Diceros bicornis minor: one gene and its partner. The protein of the gene in region 1 purifies or fractionates together with the protein of each later gene. This does not show direct contact. Links are inferred from orthologs where the notes say so. Each region holds a gene or a part of one and is shown in the gene's direction. Other genes may lie near its edges.

Region 1 (7,902 bases):
CTGTTTCTGGCAAGGGGCAGCCCATTTACGGGCAACAAAACATAAAAAGTATTTCTCATCTTTAAAAGCTGGAAGGGAAAATAAAGGAGAGAGACTGAGCAGGATGTTTTGAGTTTCTCAGAAAGAATCTCAGATTTACAGGCAAAGCCTTGTGTTTAGTGTTATATAAATAGATTGCCCATAAACGAGTCCGATGCAGTCAGCAAGGTGTAAGAGTTTATATACGCGTGCTGGTGTGTGTCTTTAAGATAGCACAGGCTTCTGACTTTGGATAAGCTGAGTGAAGTCACAGCTGGTCAACGGCAGCTCATGGATCTTTCTCAGAGGCTGAGAAAAATACAACCAGCAATTAAAGTCATGTTTTCCATTAATAATAATAACAAAAAACCCACCAACAATGCAATTCCACATGTCTAGTTTCATAAGAAACTTTCCACATGAGAGGCTTATTCTGGTAAGGGCACCATCAAACTTCATTACAAAAAAGGTGCCTTTTCATATCTAACTCACATTAAGGAAACGTCTGGGGCTTACACACCATGTAAATATTGCCATAAGCTTGGCTCTTCTTTTATTTCTGCATCAGCCACCTGGAACATTTTACAAACCAGAGGCTGAGCTCAAAGTACAGAATATCTTACCAGAATCAGTCTAAGAGCTGGTAAACTTGGAGATGGCAGTCAGTCCAAAAGGGGCTGGAAAAACAGACCAACCCACCAATCAACAAATAAACAAACAAAGAAAACTACTGGACTCTATGGTGACTCACAGTTAAGTACAGTTAGCTACTTGTTTCTTAAGTTTGAACTTCATACACGTGGGCATTAGGGGCCTAACCACCATTTTGGCAAATCAGAAAGAGCACTGGATTCAGAGTCAAAAGAGGGTGCTCTGTAATTGGCCAAGCTGAGTTAAACTTTTCTTCCTCTCAGCTTCCTCCTGTGTGATGGAAGCGAGGTTAATGATGGGTGTTCCTAGTCAGGCTACTGTGAGCAGAGAATGAGATAAAGTAGGTCAAAGTGCTTTGGGGCGTTTAAAACATTACACAAACGTAAGGGATTTGTATTACGGGAGGGCTAGGGAATTCCCTTTCTCTTCTAGTATGGAAAGGAAGGAAGATAGAAAAAAATCCATGCCTGTTTTATCTGTGAGAAAGGATTAGAATCCATCTATTTTATATGAAGATGAGATAGAGCAGAGTTGTGTAACAAGAATGCTGGATGTGTCATCATTCTTACTAGAAAATTAACACAAGGTTTAATAACATCAGTAATGTGACTGATTTTTAAGTAAACATATCCAAATGGGTGTTGTCCTATCCAGAGCAGTGAGCAGTCATCTTGGCAGGTGAAATACTTATTTAAATTATATTTCTCATGATTCAAAGAAAAATTTTTTTAACTCCTCTTTTGGAATTATTCCTAGAGCCTCTGGCACATTCTTTTGAATATGTCTGAGGGTGACAAATTTTTGTCTTTTGTGGCTAATACTGATTTCTGTAAACAGCCCAAAGTTATTTCGCATGAAGACAGTAAGTGACCTAAGCAACACCATTTTTTTTAATTGAAAAAAAGCTATGACTATAAGATAGGAAGCTGATCTTTCTTTCAGTTCAAACAGAAGAGTTAAAAGTAGTAGATTTCAAGAATTGGCAGTATTGTTGGGAATGGCTTGTTCCTTCCTAAGGTGACCACATCAGAGGAGAAAGGCCATTTGGAAATGTCCATTTCTACATTTTTAGTCACACATTCATTATTTATCTTGCAGGACTGTTTGCCATTAGATCTTGAGTTTCCAGAAAGAAAAGAGCATAGGAACAAATCAACCATTCAATCATTTTATCACAGCTCCTTGGGGCATCTGAAGCCCTCATTTGCACATGGATTAACTGGCTAGCAACAATACAGATGTTTCCAATGAATTAACAATGAGTCTACTGGAAATATAGCACTCAGCAGATCCAATAGACTCTCTACTCTCTTAAAAAGTTTGGATTTTTTTTTCAGTTATGAAACAACCTATCTGAAAATTAAAACATCACTAATATCATTACACTGTAACAATGCAACTGCTAGGGTAGATTTGCTTCTGGTGCAAATAATTTAAATTGTTAATGTTATTTCAAAATAAACACAATTGTACTTTCATTTATTGAATATTACACATTGTGGGTATTTCAATGTTAAATGATGTCAATGACATTGCTTTTATGGAAAATATTATTTTCCCTACCTCATTTTTTATTGTGGTAAAATTCACATAACATCAAATTCATCATTTGACCATTTTAAAGTGTACAGTTCAGGGGCATTTATGTTCTGCAACCACTACCACTATCTAGTTCCTAAACATCTTCACCACCCCAAAAAGAAACCCTGTACCCGTTAAGAAGTCACTCCCAATTCTTCTCTCCTCCTAACCCCTGGCAATTATTAATCTGTTGTTCCTATGGATTTATCTATTCTTGACATTTCATATAAACGGAACCTTACAATATGTTGCCTTTTATGTATGGCTTCTTTTGCTTAGCATAATGTTTTCAGCGTGCATCCATGTTGCAGCATGTATCAGCACTTATTTCTTCTTAGGGCTGAATAATTCCATTGTATAGATATACTACATTATGTTTATCTGTTCCTCCACTGATGCATATATGGGTTGTTCTCACCTTCTGGCTATTCTGAATAGTGCTGTCATGAACAGAGGTATATAATTTTTTGTTTGAACACCTGTTTTCAATTATTTTTGATATATACCCAGGAGTGGAATTGCTGGGTCATATGGCAATTCTATGTTTAACTTTCTGAGGAACCACCAAACCTCTAACTCATTTTTATGCTTACAATTTCAAGGTGGCCTGATTACCAGACAGTTAGAAGCATTTGTACTACTGTAGCCAAACCCCAGGCTGGGCCCAAAGAGGTCTCTTTTTCAGAAACGCTGATTAGAGCAGCTAGGCTTGATCCGAGCCAAGCTGTTCCAACACAAGGTTACGGGCAGGGCTTTGAACAGCTTTCTCTGCTGCTCTACATGTCACAGCATGAACTGGCTGGGCAGGAATATCTTCCTGCCTCCTAGGCATCCTTGGTTCTCCATTATGTTGCACACGCTTTGGGTGGAAAAAAAAAGATGTTAACTACCTAGCTTACAGGCTTCGCTCCTTCTCTTTTTGCAGAAGAGTTCAGATTAGCACCAGGAGTCCATGTAGGAATGGTGCTTCGGAGGCAATGCTACACCTCAGTTCTGAGCAGAGATTCGTCCTTTCATGATGGGAGAACAGGGCCTCCTGAACACTAGTTGAGACTAGAGAGAGATCTTCCATCCATCCGGGGTAGACTTGTACCATACATTTTGCTTGAAGGCACTGCCCAATGATTCTGACCCTATCAATCTATAGATACTGAAGTTGAACCTACCCTACTCTGTATGTTGTACATGGTCCACCCTATGGTCTTGGCCAGGACAACAGGAGATAATCTTACTACATGCATTGTTTACTGCAGCTAATTTACTGAGTCATGAGTCTCCTCAACCATTAACCCAACCCTGACAGTACACTGATGAGCACTGATTTTTTTTATTTAAACCTGTTCATGAGCCTCAGAATGCTGATCTCTTAGCTCCACTGCCTAACACATAGGTAGTTTCTGAGCTACAGGAGCTCAAATCAAGAAGTATTATGATTGCACTGCCAAAAACAGACATGGACCAAAACGGCTTTTTCCCCTTGAAACTAAATATTAAGAATGAAGAAGTTGGCTTCCGGGGCCCTTGCTAAGCAGTCTCTCTTCCAACTCAGCTGTCACTTGTCACTTGTCTCCTGGCAGCCCTTTCAGGTGTCCTGGCCTGAATCTGCTATTAGAACAGAAAAAAGTCCCTTGGCTGGTCATATCCTCTGTAATCTGGCAGGAAACCTAAAATTTGCCTGCTCCCGTCCTCGGTCTGTTTGCTTATCTGCTTCCTTGTAGGGAAGAGTCTGCATCACAGTGTCCGGTTCAGGGGGATTTTCACCATGACCTCACCCTCCTCCAGCTACCATCCACTGATTTCAGCGCGGCAGCTCGGGGATCCACATTAACAACCCCTCCTTGCCCATCTCAGATTAACATCAACTCGAGTTATTTCTCCTCAACGGAGGGTCTTTGCAGAGGTCTGAGAATGCCAAAAAGAGCTGGGGGCGGGGGGAGCTGGGGCGGAGATTGACGACGTTTGGTTATCATTCTGGGCTTGGGAGAGCAGGATGTCAAGGGAGCCACCTTAAGAAAACGCATCAGAAGTCTTCCAGGCTTGCGCCCACTGTTCGAATAACTTTCGATCCAATGGCCTCGAAGTAAGGCGCGCGAACGGTGACAGCAAGCGGCGGCGGGCACGTAACCCGGGTGTAAGAACGGCGGGAGCGGTTGGGAGGCCCAAACGGAGTGTCCGGGATCCGGTCTCCGGCCTCCAGAGCTCGGGGAAGTAGCCTTTCTGCCCCTAAGTGGGCGCAGCTCATTAAAGGTAAACAAAGTCGAGCTCCGCAGACTAAGAGCGCCCCCGACCTGGCGGGAGACCACGTGACCGCTCCTAGCGGGGGCCCCCCCCCCGCCCACCGCCCCCGCACGAGCCCGCCGGCGGCCGCGGGCACGCGAGCTAGAGCGTGGCTCGCCGGCCCAGAGCGGGAGGCGGGAGAGCGGGCGCGGCGTGCGTGCGCGCCCCCGGGAGGCAGCGAGCGCGCGCACGCCCCTGGGGCCACCGCCCCTCCCGGGCCCGCCCTCTTACCCTCCCTCCCCGCTCGCCTGGCCCGCCCTGCGCGGCCCGCCCTGCGAGTCAGTCGCTCGTTCCCTCCCTCCCCCGGCGCGCTCGGGCCGCCGCAGCGCTCCCCGCCCTCGAGCCGCGGAGCCGGAGCCGCCCGCCGCCCGAGGAGGAGGTGGAGGGAGCCGGAGGGGCCCGCCGAGGCGGCGGCGGCGGCGGCAAGATGGCGGACTTCCTGCCGTCGCGGTCCGTGCTGTCCGTGTGCTTCCCCGGCTGCGTGCTGACGAGCGGCGAGGCCGAGCAGCAGCGCAAGTCCAAGGAGATCGACAAATGCCTGTCCCGGGAGAAGACCTACGTGAAGCGACTGGTGAAGATCCTGCTACTGGGCGCGGGCGAGAGCGGCAAGTCCACCTTCCTGAAGCAGATGCGGATCATCCACGGGCAGGACTTCGACCAGCGTGCGCGCGAGGAGTTCCGCCCCACCATCTACAGCAACGTGATCAAAGGTGCCGGGCCGGGGTCGGGGGGCCGAGGGCGGGGGCCGGGGGCGGCCGGCGCGGGGCCGGGCACCGCCCTCGTTCGCTCTGTCCCTGGCGGAGGAGCGGGCCCGGCGAGCGGGCGGGAAGGGGGCGCGGCCAGGGCACCGTCCCGCCTGCCCGGGGTGCCGTCGCGCCCCAGGGAGAGGATGTCGGGGGGCCCCTCGCTTCGCCCTTCCCGTCGGAGTGGGGGTCACGGCCAGCCCCTTACCCCCCACCCCGCCGTTGGCCTCGCCCCCTCCGAGGGGGAAGTGAGGCGAGCCCGGTGCCCGGGCTCCGGGGCGACCTCTCCTGTCTTCTTCCCTCCAGACGAGGCGGGAAGACCCGAGAGCCAACCCCTGCACCCCCACCCCCTGCTCGGGCGCTGCCTGCCCAACCTCGCCGCCCCGGGTGGGTGACCCGAGTCAGATGGGGTCGGGTCTGCTCCCAACTCCCCGCTTCCTTGGCCGCCTCCTGAGCAAGGGATTTCTGGAACCGTTGCGATAAGAAAACTTTTGCCTGAGACTCTTGTCAAGGGCGAAGAGTGACAGGCCCTGGGGCATTTTTGGGCAAGGATGTGAAACTTGAGGGTGTCATGTTTACTGTGCTGGCATCAGGAAAGGGTAGACCCATACAGTTCGTCTGAAAAAATTAGCATCAGTGGTTTTTCGCCTCAGTGTCACGGTCGGGCAGGATGTTTGCCTGTAATCACTATGCAACACGTTCCACTCTCCTTTTTGCTTAATAACTGGGGGCGGGCGGAGGGGAGGGGGTACCCACCACTTGCTTCTACTATTTAAATGAAGTCGTGCTTTGATAGGAAGAATCTTTGGCCTAAAAGTGATGCGGAGCCTGTACAGGTTGAGTCAATGAATCGTCGGCTTGAATCATAGGCTCTGCTTCTGACAGTATTTTTAAAATTAAAGGTAAACTTTGTCCTTGAGTGAAAAGTTAACAAGAATTTTATGTCTGGGCTTTCAAAGAATTAGAGATGATGGTTTTTATTTTGTCATTTGAACAGTAATTAGAACTCATTTTTCTTAGTATCAGATGTTTTCTGCATAAAAGGCATTTTCGCAAAATTGAGATGCAGAGCCTGGTACTTCAGGTGCATCAGGATTCTTTTTATTTTATCTGGGTAGCAATTACTTAGGAGTTTGCTACAGATTTCGGGTGTTTTCAAGCAGTGTTTTTTTAAGTGGGATTCTTTTATTCTGGAAGTACTTAAGCAACTCCTTTGTGTGGCTTTTTTTTCTCCCAGGATTGGGTAGAGGAAAACTGCTTGGGCTGGGGGGAGTACTGGGGGGTAATGGAGGGGAGTAAAACACAGGGCCAGGAGTTCACAGACCACAGCTAGCTCTGAGCCCTAGTATCGCTGCAGTTAAGCTGTGCGAAAAGTTGTGCTTATCCTATCTTAATGTTGAGCACAAAACTAAGGTCCCTTTCAAGGCCGAAGACTCCGCCTTGCCAGTCTTTAATTGAAGGTACCTTTGTATCCTGATGCAGCTGATCTTATGGAATTATGTCAAAGAATAGAGTCAACATGTTAACTGATTATGAGCCAGGTAAACACCTGGTTCTTAATGTGCACTAGGTCCTAAGTGTGACCTACTTTGAGCATTGTTTGTGAGATGAAGTCACTAGACATCTACTTTTTTTGAGTTGGCATGATGAGAAAATTGACAGCAAAACAATTTTTCAGTTGTCCAAACAAATGACTTAATAGTCATGTGACTATTAAGATGGACCAAGGTAACAGTTTAGTGATAGAAATATTGAGTTTGAACTAATCTCTGTGAGTGGAAATCTCTCTCTCTTTTGCAGTTGATCTTCCTCCCTTTTAGGGAAATCGAAGGCCATCCTGTGACTTACACTGATTTGAAGCTTGGTATGAGAGAAGTGTTTGAGTTTTGAATGTGATCCTAGAAGACTCAGTGTTGGCTTATAAGCAGGGTGCTCAGGGAACAAACAGAACACAGCGATAATGTTTGGTTCTTGGCGTTTCATAAATAAATGTCTTTGAGAGGCTCATAAAATCTTGGTTGCAGCCGTTTTCTCCAGAGCCTGGACATCGGGCTATGCAGTATAATTTCTTTTTCCTTCACTAGTTTTAGTTCTCTTGTGACTACCTTCTACCCCAGAAGTTATTTTATAAATTAGAAATGTGAAAAGTCTTCAGAAAGAACAATTATGTTAATAGTATTTGCTTTTCAAGGCTCTAATTTTATGACTCTGAACAACTGTTAGTTTTTTTAAGCTCTGAGAAGTTATGGTGTTTGTTTTGATGTTGGTCTCCATTTTGGAGGTGGTGGGCCTGGAGCAGTTAAGAAGTTTAAGAAAATAATACTGGAATAGAATCTATGAGAATATCTAATGACTCCTATCACACTTTTTTTTTTCTTTTTAAACAAAGGTATGAGGGTGCTGGTAGATGCTCGAGAGAAGCTTCACATTCCTTGGGGAGATAACTCAAACCAGCTCAATGGAGATGTGATGATGGCATTTGACACGCGGTCCCCCATGGCGGCCCAGGGCATGGTGGAAACCCGGGTTTTTCTACAGTACCTTCCTGCTATAAGAGCCTTATGGGCCGACAGTGGCATACAGAATGCCTATGACCGGCGTCGAGAATTTCAGCTGGTGAGAGATTTGTTCT
Region 2 (7,597 bases), on another chromosome or scaffold:
ACTTCTGAAAATATTAGGCTTCAATCTAAAACTGTTTTTTTTTCACACATTTTCCTTTACACTTTATCTTGGCATCTTCTTTGTTATTCAGTTTGTCTCAGCTACTAGGGGTGTTGATGGGAAAGAGTTGGTTTCTAAGGTACCCACAGACAGGAAGGTACCAAGCTTGGGAGGCTGGAGTGCACACCTGGGAGGTGACCCCACAGACAATGCGAACCTCCTCTCAGTGGGAGTTAAGGTGAGAAGCCTTTTCTCCACTAAATGCCTTGAGATCCTCAAAAGTGATGAGGGGCAAATTTCGGGGGGCGATATCTCAAGGAACACCGAGACGGGAGATGAAGAACTGACAGACTAAGGTAAAATTTGCTGGTCACTGCACCGTGGGAAAAATACCTGTCTAGAGGGCTGAGGAGTTAAATGGCTGACCTCTCCTTCCAGCTCCACTCTCCCTAATTTCTCCTCAACAAGCCCTGCCCCTCTTCTGTCTTTCTGAGAAGGTTCTGCCTGTGCATTGTTCCTTTGTTTTATCTTTGCCCCCAGTGCCTGGCATGGTGCCTATAACATAAGGCAGTACAGTTGACAGTTAAGCACAGACTCTGGGAACAGACTGCCTGGGTTCCCAGCTCTGTGACCCTAAGCAAGTTATTTTACCTCTCTGGGCCTGTTTCCCACTTGAAAATGGGGATAATAATAACTACCTCAAAATGGATCTAATGGTTAATACTTGCAGTTTGTTTAGAACAGTATTTACATAGTAAGCATTATATATGTTTTGGTATTATTATTGCTTCATACTAAAATTTTATTGGGAACTCAACAGGTTGAATGAACAGAATACTCTGAGTGACAATGAAATGATGTCTGTAACAGAGGTTTAATATTGGTTATTCTGGCTACCCAGAAGCATTCTAGAGAAATCTAAATCAGCAAAAAATAAACCATAAAATTTTCTCACCCTTAGGCTTAAATAATACCTTAATTAAGCAAGCCTCTCATCATCTTTCCAACTGACAAAGGTTGAAGAGGGATAAAAGATCTCCAATAAATAGTGGCACTATCCCTCCAGTGGTGATTTTATTTTGCTAGGCCTGTCCCCTAACAGCACCCTGGAAGGAGAATGACTGAAGCATGGAGTCCATCTCTCTAGAAGATACATCTGGTTTGGGCTGGGGATGTCTGTGCACGAATGTTTCTCTAGAACTCACACTGTGAGCCATCCAAGGTTCTCCATCACAACTCTCCCTCGGCTCTTCAATTAAGTATTAGGTTTCTAGAATCACTCTCAGCAAATCAAAGCTGACCATACCTGCTTTTTCCTTTGCTTCTCACACTTAAAAATGAGGATGTGTGAATTCTAGCTTCAATCTATCAATTAATGGGATTTCATGCAAATCACCTAAAACCTCTCTGTGCCATAGTTTCCTCCAGTGTAAATGAATTTAACATAACTTATGCCCTCTCTATCCCACAGGATGGTGGACAGAGGAAAGGATTCATTTATTAAGTTTTGTGGGGAAAGTTAAAAGGATTATGTCGATTCAAGATATTACTTCTTAACATTTATCCTGATTTCCCTGCCCAGCACTCTACAGTTTATAGAGCCCATGCTCGATCTCATTTAATGCTTACAATCTGCAAACAGTAGGTCACAAAGCTAGAAAGTGATACAGCCCAAACAAACTCAGTTCTTTGAACTCATAGTCTAGTGCTCTTTCCATTAACCAATAGCTGCTTCCAGATTCCTACCACCTAGATTGTCCTGGGTGCAATCTAATCTATTTTTTGTCCTAAACTGAGACTTGCAATTTGCTTAAATGGCCAGCTAACTTTAGGGAACTCTATCCTGCTAAAGCCACCCCCATCCCCATAGTCTTCAAAGTGGAGCATACAAAGAGACTCACTGGTGTGCAAGAGGAAAATATTTAAGAATGCCTTCACAATACTATTTAACTATGGCAAAAATAATTATTTAAGCTTTATTAATACTAATCTTTGACATATGGGCTGACCCAGCACTCTCACTGGGTCATCTGTCACAGGCAGTATGTGAGATGTTTCCAGGAACCAGTGGTAATGCCATCCACAGTTCAGACATTCATTTTCTTCATAATGTATGCCATCCACTGGACGAAAATAAGCCTGTTAATTGCTACAAACTTTACAATTCTTAATAAAGACAGGAGAATGACCATGAAAATCTTTGTTCTGCAGAGATTCATTGGTTATCTTCCGGGAAAGGCCTAAAAAGAGGTATTGAACATAGAGGAGATACACATTTTTATTTGACAATGTTCTGTGATGCGAAATGGCTAGAAAGAGTATACTATCTAGCCCTTATTTTCAAAAACAAAAACACACAATGACAACAACAACAATCCACTTAATCTGTTCCTTCAAGATGAAGATGACAGTCATTAAGTGAGAGAGTCATTGTTTTTCTAAAGAAACTCATCCTTATGGAGAAAGCATTTTGAAGATCCATGACTGGAAATGTTTCCAATATCGTGATTTTTTTTTGAATTACCAAAAACAATGTGTTTCACCTATAAAACTTTTGTCTGCATACTTGAAAAACTAGGAAACAGAATTTGAAAATCTGTTTTAAAAATCTAAATGAAGCTTCTTGGCGAGTTTGAACCCATTTGTTAAAAATATAAATGCAACACCTTCCAATCATTCAAGGACTGATTGATTTAAGATGTAAATTTACTAGTGGAATTTCAATTAAAAGTCTTTGCATCGTGGTTAATGGAACTGGAAAATGAGTAACATAATTTAATAAATGCAATCGAGGATGCTCTTCTTCTGCTTGAATCTACCTTTTTGATAAGCATCTTTTCCAGTTATAATAGTCATTAACTTTCATTAAAAAGCATGATTTAAAAAATGTACTTCATCTTTATTTCCATCTTTTAATATTTCTACTCTAGGGCATGTTTTATAAGGTACGTAATAAAATACATGTAAATAATTGTTTTAAAAATATTACACATATTAAGAAAGCATGACAAGAAAAATGTTTGGTGACCACTGGTCTATCAGCACAGAGGAAGTGTCCACATTTGGAAGCATCATTTTTGCAGGTAGTATAAACTATTTTGCAGGGACTAAACAAGAAAGACAGTAGCAATTTGGACTGTGGTGCTTCAGATGCCTGGCAGACCACCTGTCTTTCCCTCTGGCCTAGGGGTTGGAGATGGCAGGGAAGGCAGTAGGTCTGTCTTTTATGTGCCACCTTGTACCTGGTGTAATTTAGAGGAAGCTCCTGGTTCATTGTAAGTTCTCAAGTGATGCTTATTAGTTTCTTTTCCCTCTTGCTGTTTGCAAACCCACAACTTCTGCTAACACTGCTGGGGTCACTCAGCTCCTTCTACACTGCTTATGGATGTGCGTGGGGAAATATACATATACATATCATTTCCCCCAAGAACAATCAAGGTGGTGTGGAAGGGAGACAACATATGCAAACACACCACTGCCTGCAGAGTATTTCACAACAGCATTTACCTAGGCAAGAAGATAAAGTTCACTCCCCAGTCCTAAAGAAATAGTTTCCTTTTCATCTTAATTATTTTTAACCATAACGCTTGGGACCTTCTGACTAATGTCATGTTACTTGGAAAGATTTAGTAACTGTGATTCTATGAGAGGGGGTTATGAAAATAGAATTGTCCTTGAAAGGCTTTTCCATCGAGTTCAAAACCAGTTTACACAGCCTGGTATTAAGATGCCCAAACCAACCAGAGGGGGAAGAGTGAAGGGTCTCTTCCCCGATTGTTGGCGGGTGTTAGAAATGGGGAGGGCCACAGAACCGGGACGAAAAGAGCTCCTGACACCCAGGAAGGAGGCTGCGACAAATTTTTGAAAAATAAGATGAGACAAGAGGCGGAGACAGGGTGAGCAGTGGCGGTGGGAGAGCAGGGGTGATGCTGGTGAACGCCAAGACAGAAACCCATAAACATGGGGAGGGGGTCGGGGGCGCCGGGCACCGTAAGAGGGTGGGAAGGAGGCAAGAAACAAAGGTCGGGTCTTGAGCACAGGACAGTAAAAAGGGGGAAAGCAGCTAAGAGAAAGCGGCGAGAAGGAGGCAGCGGTGGTGACCACGGCGGGGGTGGCGCCCGGTGAGGCCGGGGTCGCCGGCCCGGCGGGCCGGGACAAGCCGGGGATCCGGCTGAGCCCGGGAGCAGCTAGGCCGCGCCGAGGGGCCGGGCCGGCGACTGTGGGGCCACGGAGGGGACCGGCCGAGGAGCGGCGGCGAGGGGCCGCAGCGGGGCAGAGCGCGCAGGGACGCCCGGAGCGGGGCCGGCGGGAGTAGCGGCCGCCAGACCCGACGGAGGGCCCAGCGGTCAGCTTCCCGCCCCCACCCCGCCGCGGCGTGAGGGGAAAGGCCGGCGGGCTGCGGCGCGCGGAGGAGGAGCCTGCGGCCCCGCCCCCGTCGGAGCGAGGGAAGGAGAAAGGCTCGCGGGGAAGGAGGGAGGGTGCGGGGAGGGGGCGGCCGGCCGGGCCTGCGCCCGAGCGAGCGGCGAGTGAGGGGGAAGGGGCCCGGAAGGAGGCGAGCGCGGCCGCGACGCCAGGAGCCGGACGGCCGCCCGTGCCGGCCTGCCGCCGCCGCCGCCTTCCCTGCGTGCGCCCGAGCCCGGAGTCCCGCGGCCGCGGAGGCCGGAGCGCGGCGGTCGGGCGTGGGGCGAGCGGGCGAGCGGGGCCGGGAGCCGGAGGCCGCCGGCGGTGCTGCGCGAGGCGCGGGGGGCTCCTGCCGGCGAGAGGAGGCAAGGGGCGGAGAGGGAGGAAAAAGAGGCCGAGAGAAGCCCGGCGGTCGGATTTTCCAGGAGGCTGGTGTGGAGGAAAATCCCACCGCGAACTCAAATCCACAATAATAATCCAAACTATTCATAATAGGGAAGCAGTTTTGCTGGCCGGGCGAGAGGGAGAGAAGGGGGAACGGCAGGAAGCGAAATCTCCGTTTCATGGAGGCTGAGGCGAGAGAAAATTTCGGAGCCTGGATGTGGAGGAGCAAAACAGAACTAACTCAGGAAATTGTCCTTCAGAAAAAGGCCGAACCTAGGCTGGGGCTGAGAATCTGGCTGATGTAGGTGGAGAAACCTGCCAAGTTTAAAGGAAAAAGAAAAGGAGAGGATATTTTCAGAGATTTTCTCTGGTTTGTGGTTATTGCTACCATTTTAAAGGTAGACAGCATTGCATTTCAGGTGCAAATTTTTTTTTTTCTCATGCGATTGGCTCGTTTAAGAATTTCAAAACCTTTAATGTAAAAGCTTTTTTTTTTTTTTTAAAGGAAATCCGTGATTTTGGTTCCCAGGGTTGCACTGAACTTGGAAGGAGTGCTGTTGTGTACATACTATTGTATAGTTTTATTTATTTATTTTTTTTACTGTGCAAATCAGCTGGAAGATTTTTTCCAAGTGCCAATTCGGATTTATTCATCCTTTTTTTTTTTTTTCTTCCCTCAAACATATCTGTTGTCGTTTTAAGCATTGGAGACCAGAGAATTTTTCCCCCCTTTGGAGCTTGAGGCTATCTTGCCAACAGAAGGACAGCTGGGAAAACTGGATTAAAAGGATGGTTTTTATCTGTATTTTGCAGTTAAGACTGATATTTTGAAGGCACATTCTTTCTGTGATTCATTTTTTCAGCCCATAGCACTAACCTTGAAGAGATTTGTGGTTGGGTTTTTGGTTTCTAAGGTCATAGTTTTTCCCCTTTTTTTTTTTTTCGTTTTTTTTTTTTTTTTAAGAGGGGGGTGAGGAAGGGGGGGCCAAGAAAGGAGACCATGTTAACTGGTAGAAGTAGAATGGAGCTTCAGTTACCAGGGTCCTGAGAGCTGAAGAAAAAGGATTCAGTTTTCAAGTTGGGAGGCCCTCCTCTCACCTTAAAAATTGCAAGCTATTCAATCCTGATCAAGACATCAGAACGACAGGATTCTGGAACTGTGGACACACCGAGAAACCATGAGTGTAAGGTTACCCCAGAGTATAGACAGGTAGGTTTGCTAATGTGGTTTTTCAACCCTTACTTAAGGAAAGACTGGGAGGGAGGGTGTTGAATTTTGATAAATGGTTGCAAAAGAAGGGTCTGAGTGGGCTGTGGGAATTGGTGGGGTAGGAGCATTGGTCTCTAGGGACTGCCTGGGCATGTGTGTTTATGTTCCCACTGTGTTGTGTCGGTGGTCAAAACATCTCTCCTGATTCAGTGTTTTTTTAAATACAAGCAATAGAGAGTGAAGCCAGGAGTGGGGAAAGATGGAGAAATGCTTCCAGCTGCCTTTGACTTTTGCCAGGCTAGAGGCTGAATTTGAGTCCCTAACTTGCCAGCCTAGGGGGTGGGAGGCGGGCGCAAGCCTGGTCACGTGAGCCCCAAGGGCGGATTGGGACTGGCTTTAGGTGTTGGAGCTGCAGGGGGAAGGGCCTTGGCAGGGGCATGGGCCTCCACTGGGCTGGTTGTTATGGAATGGTGGGGCTTGGTGATGGGGTGGATCCCATTTCTAGAATGAGAAGGATGTTCTTGGCCTGAATGATGGGACAGAAACACCCTTTGCGCCCATACGGGTCTGGATTTTTACCAGTGGCTGATAATGGCCTCAAGATGCGTAGGTCACATTAGAATTTCTTCCTCTCCAAGCTTAGAGTTTAAATTGAGACCTGCCAACCGGCTGATGCTCTCGGTTTAATCTTCCATGCCATTTTTCATAAGCTTGACTCGGCAGAATGGGCCTTCCCTCTGCCTAGAACCGGAAGGAGTTGTTTTGTGCTCCTCGGCCTGATGGGCAGAGGCACTGGCCCTTAGAGTCTGAGCACAGGATGCCCTTCCCCCACAAGAGTCTGCCCAGCCTCCCCATCACTGGTGACGCTACAGTTTACAACTTCGTAAGGTGTCTGCTTGTTCCCTCCCTCCCTTCCCCCTCCTCAACCCTTTCTCCTTGAGAATCTTGAGAGACAGTTGTTCCGTGGGTGCTGCACACATCGGAACTGGATAGATGGGTGGATGGAAGACTGAACCAGCAAGTGAAAGGACTGGGCCTGGAAAAAATATTATTGGAGAGAGAGGGAAGAATATTTGCAAGGGAGCAAATATTCTTTCTTCATGTCCAGTTAACCTTTGCTTATCCATGCTAATAATAATTTCTTTTTGGCTGTGGAATGTGGCCTAAAATGCATATAATCTCTCTCTCCCAAACACTAATCTCTGTATTGCCTCAGAGTCCTGTTTGGATTAGTTCAGCAGTATCCAGACGGGGACCTGACTTGGTAGTGGAGAGGAGAAGACAGACAGCCACAAAGGGCAGAAAGTATATGTGGCTGGTTCTAACCTCCATCTCTTCCCCTTTTTGTTGGCTTCTCTGTAGTTTGACTCTTGTGAAGGCAGACTGGGGGCATGTCAAGGCAAGGGATTGAAATGGTTACACGGCTGTTCTTCTTTTCATCGTCTTGGAGTTTGGGAATCAATGCACATGGCTTTTTGAGATCTGAATGGTGAACTATTTCTCTGGATTCAGGGATGTGAGAAGATGGAAACCCAGGTGTTGGGGGGTGCAAGAAGGAGGCAATGAGAGTTCCTGTGCTGACGCGGGATGCTCCTCTGGGAG

Evidence for each region. The genes of interacting proteins can lie anywhere in the genome.
Region 2: the proteins of GNA13 (region 1) and ARHGEF11 purify together in Homo sapiens (affinity purification with western blotting; 3 studies listed by BioGRID). This does not show direct contact. The link is inferred for Diceros bicornis minor from reciprocal best matches to the Homo sapiens genes GNA13 and ARHGEF11.

What each region holds. Positions count from the first base shown.
Region 1 is NC_080757.1:49,822,615-49,830,516, forward strand, and holds the start of GNA13 (guanine nucleotide-binding protein subunit alpha-13), read left to right. Parts: upstream 1-4,810; 5' UTR 4,811-4,954; coding exon 4,955-5,237; intron 5,238-7,659; coding exon 7,660-7,886; intron 7,887-7,902. UniProt on the Homo sapiens protein: Guanine nucleotide-binding proteins (G proteins) are involved as modulators or transducers in various transmembrane signaling systems.
Region 2 is NC_080743.1:60,525,724-60,533,320, reverse strand, and holds the start of ARHGEF11 (rho guanine nucleotide exchange factor 11), read left to right. Parts: upstream 1-4,585; 5' UTR 4,586-5,963; coding exon 5,964-5,995; intron 5,996-7,597. UniProt on the Homo sapiens protein: May play a role in the regulation of RhoA GTPase by guanine nucleotide-binding alpha-12 (GNA12) and alpha-13 (GNA13). Acts as guanine nucleotide exchange factor (GEF) for RhoA GTPase and may act as GTPase-activating protein (GAP) for GNA12 and GNA13.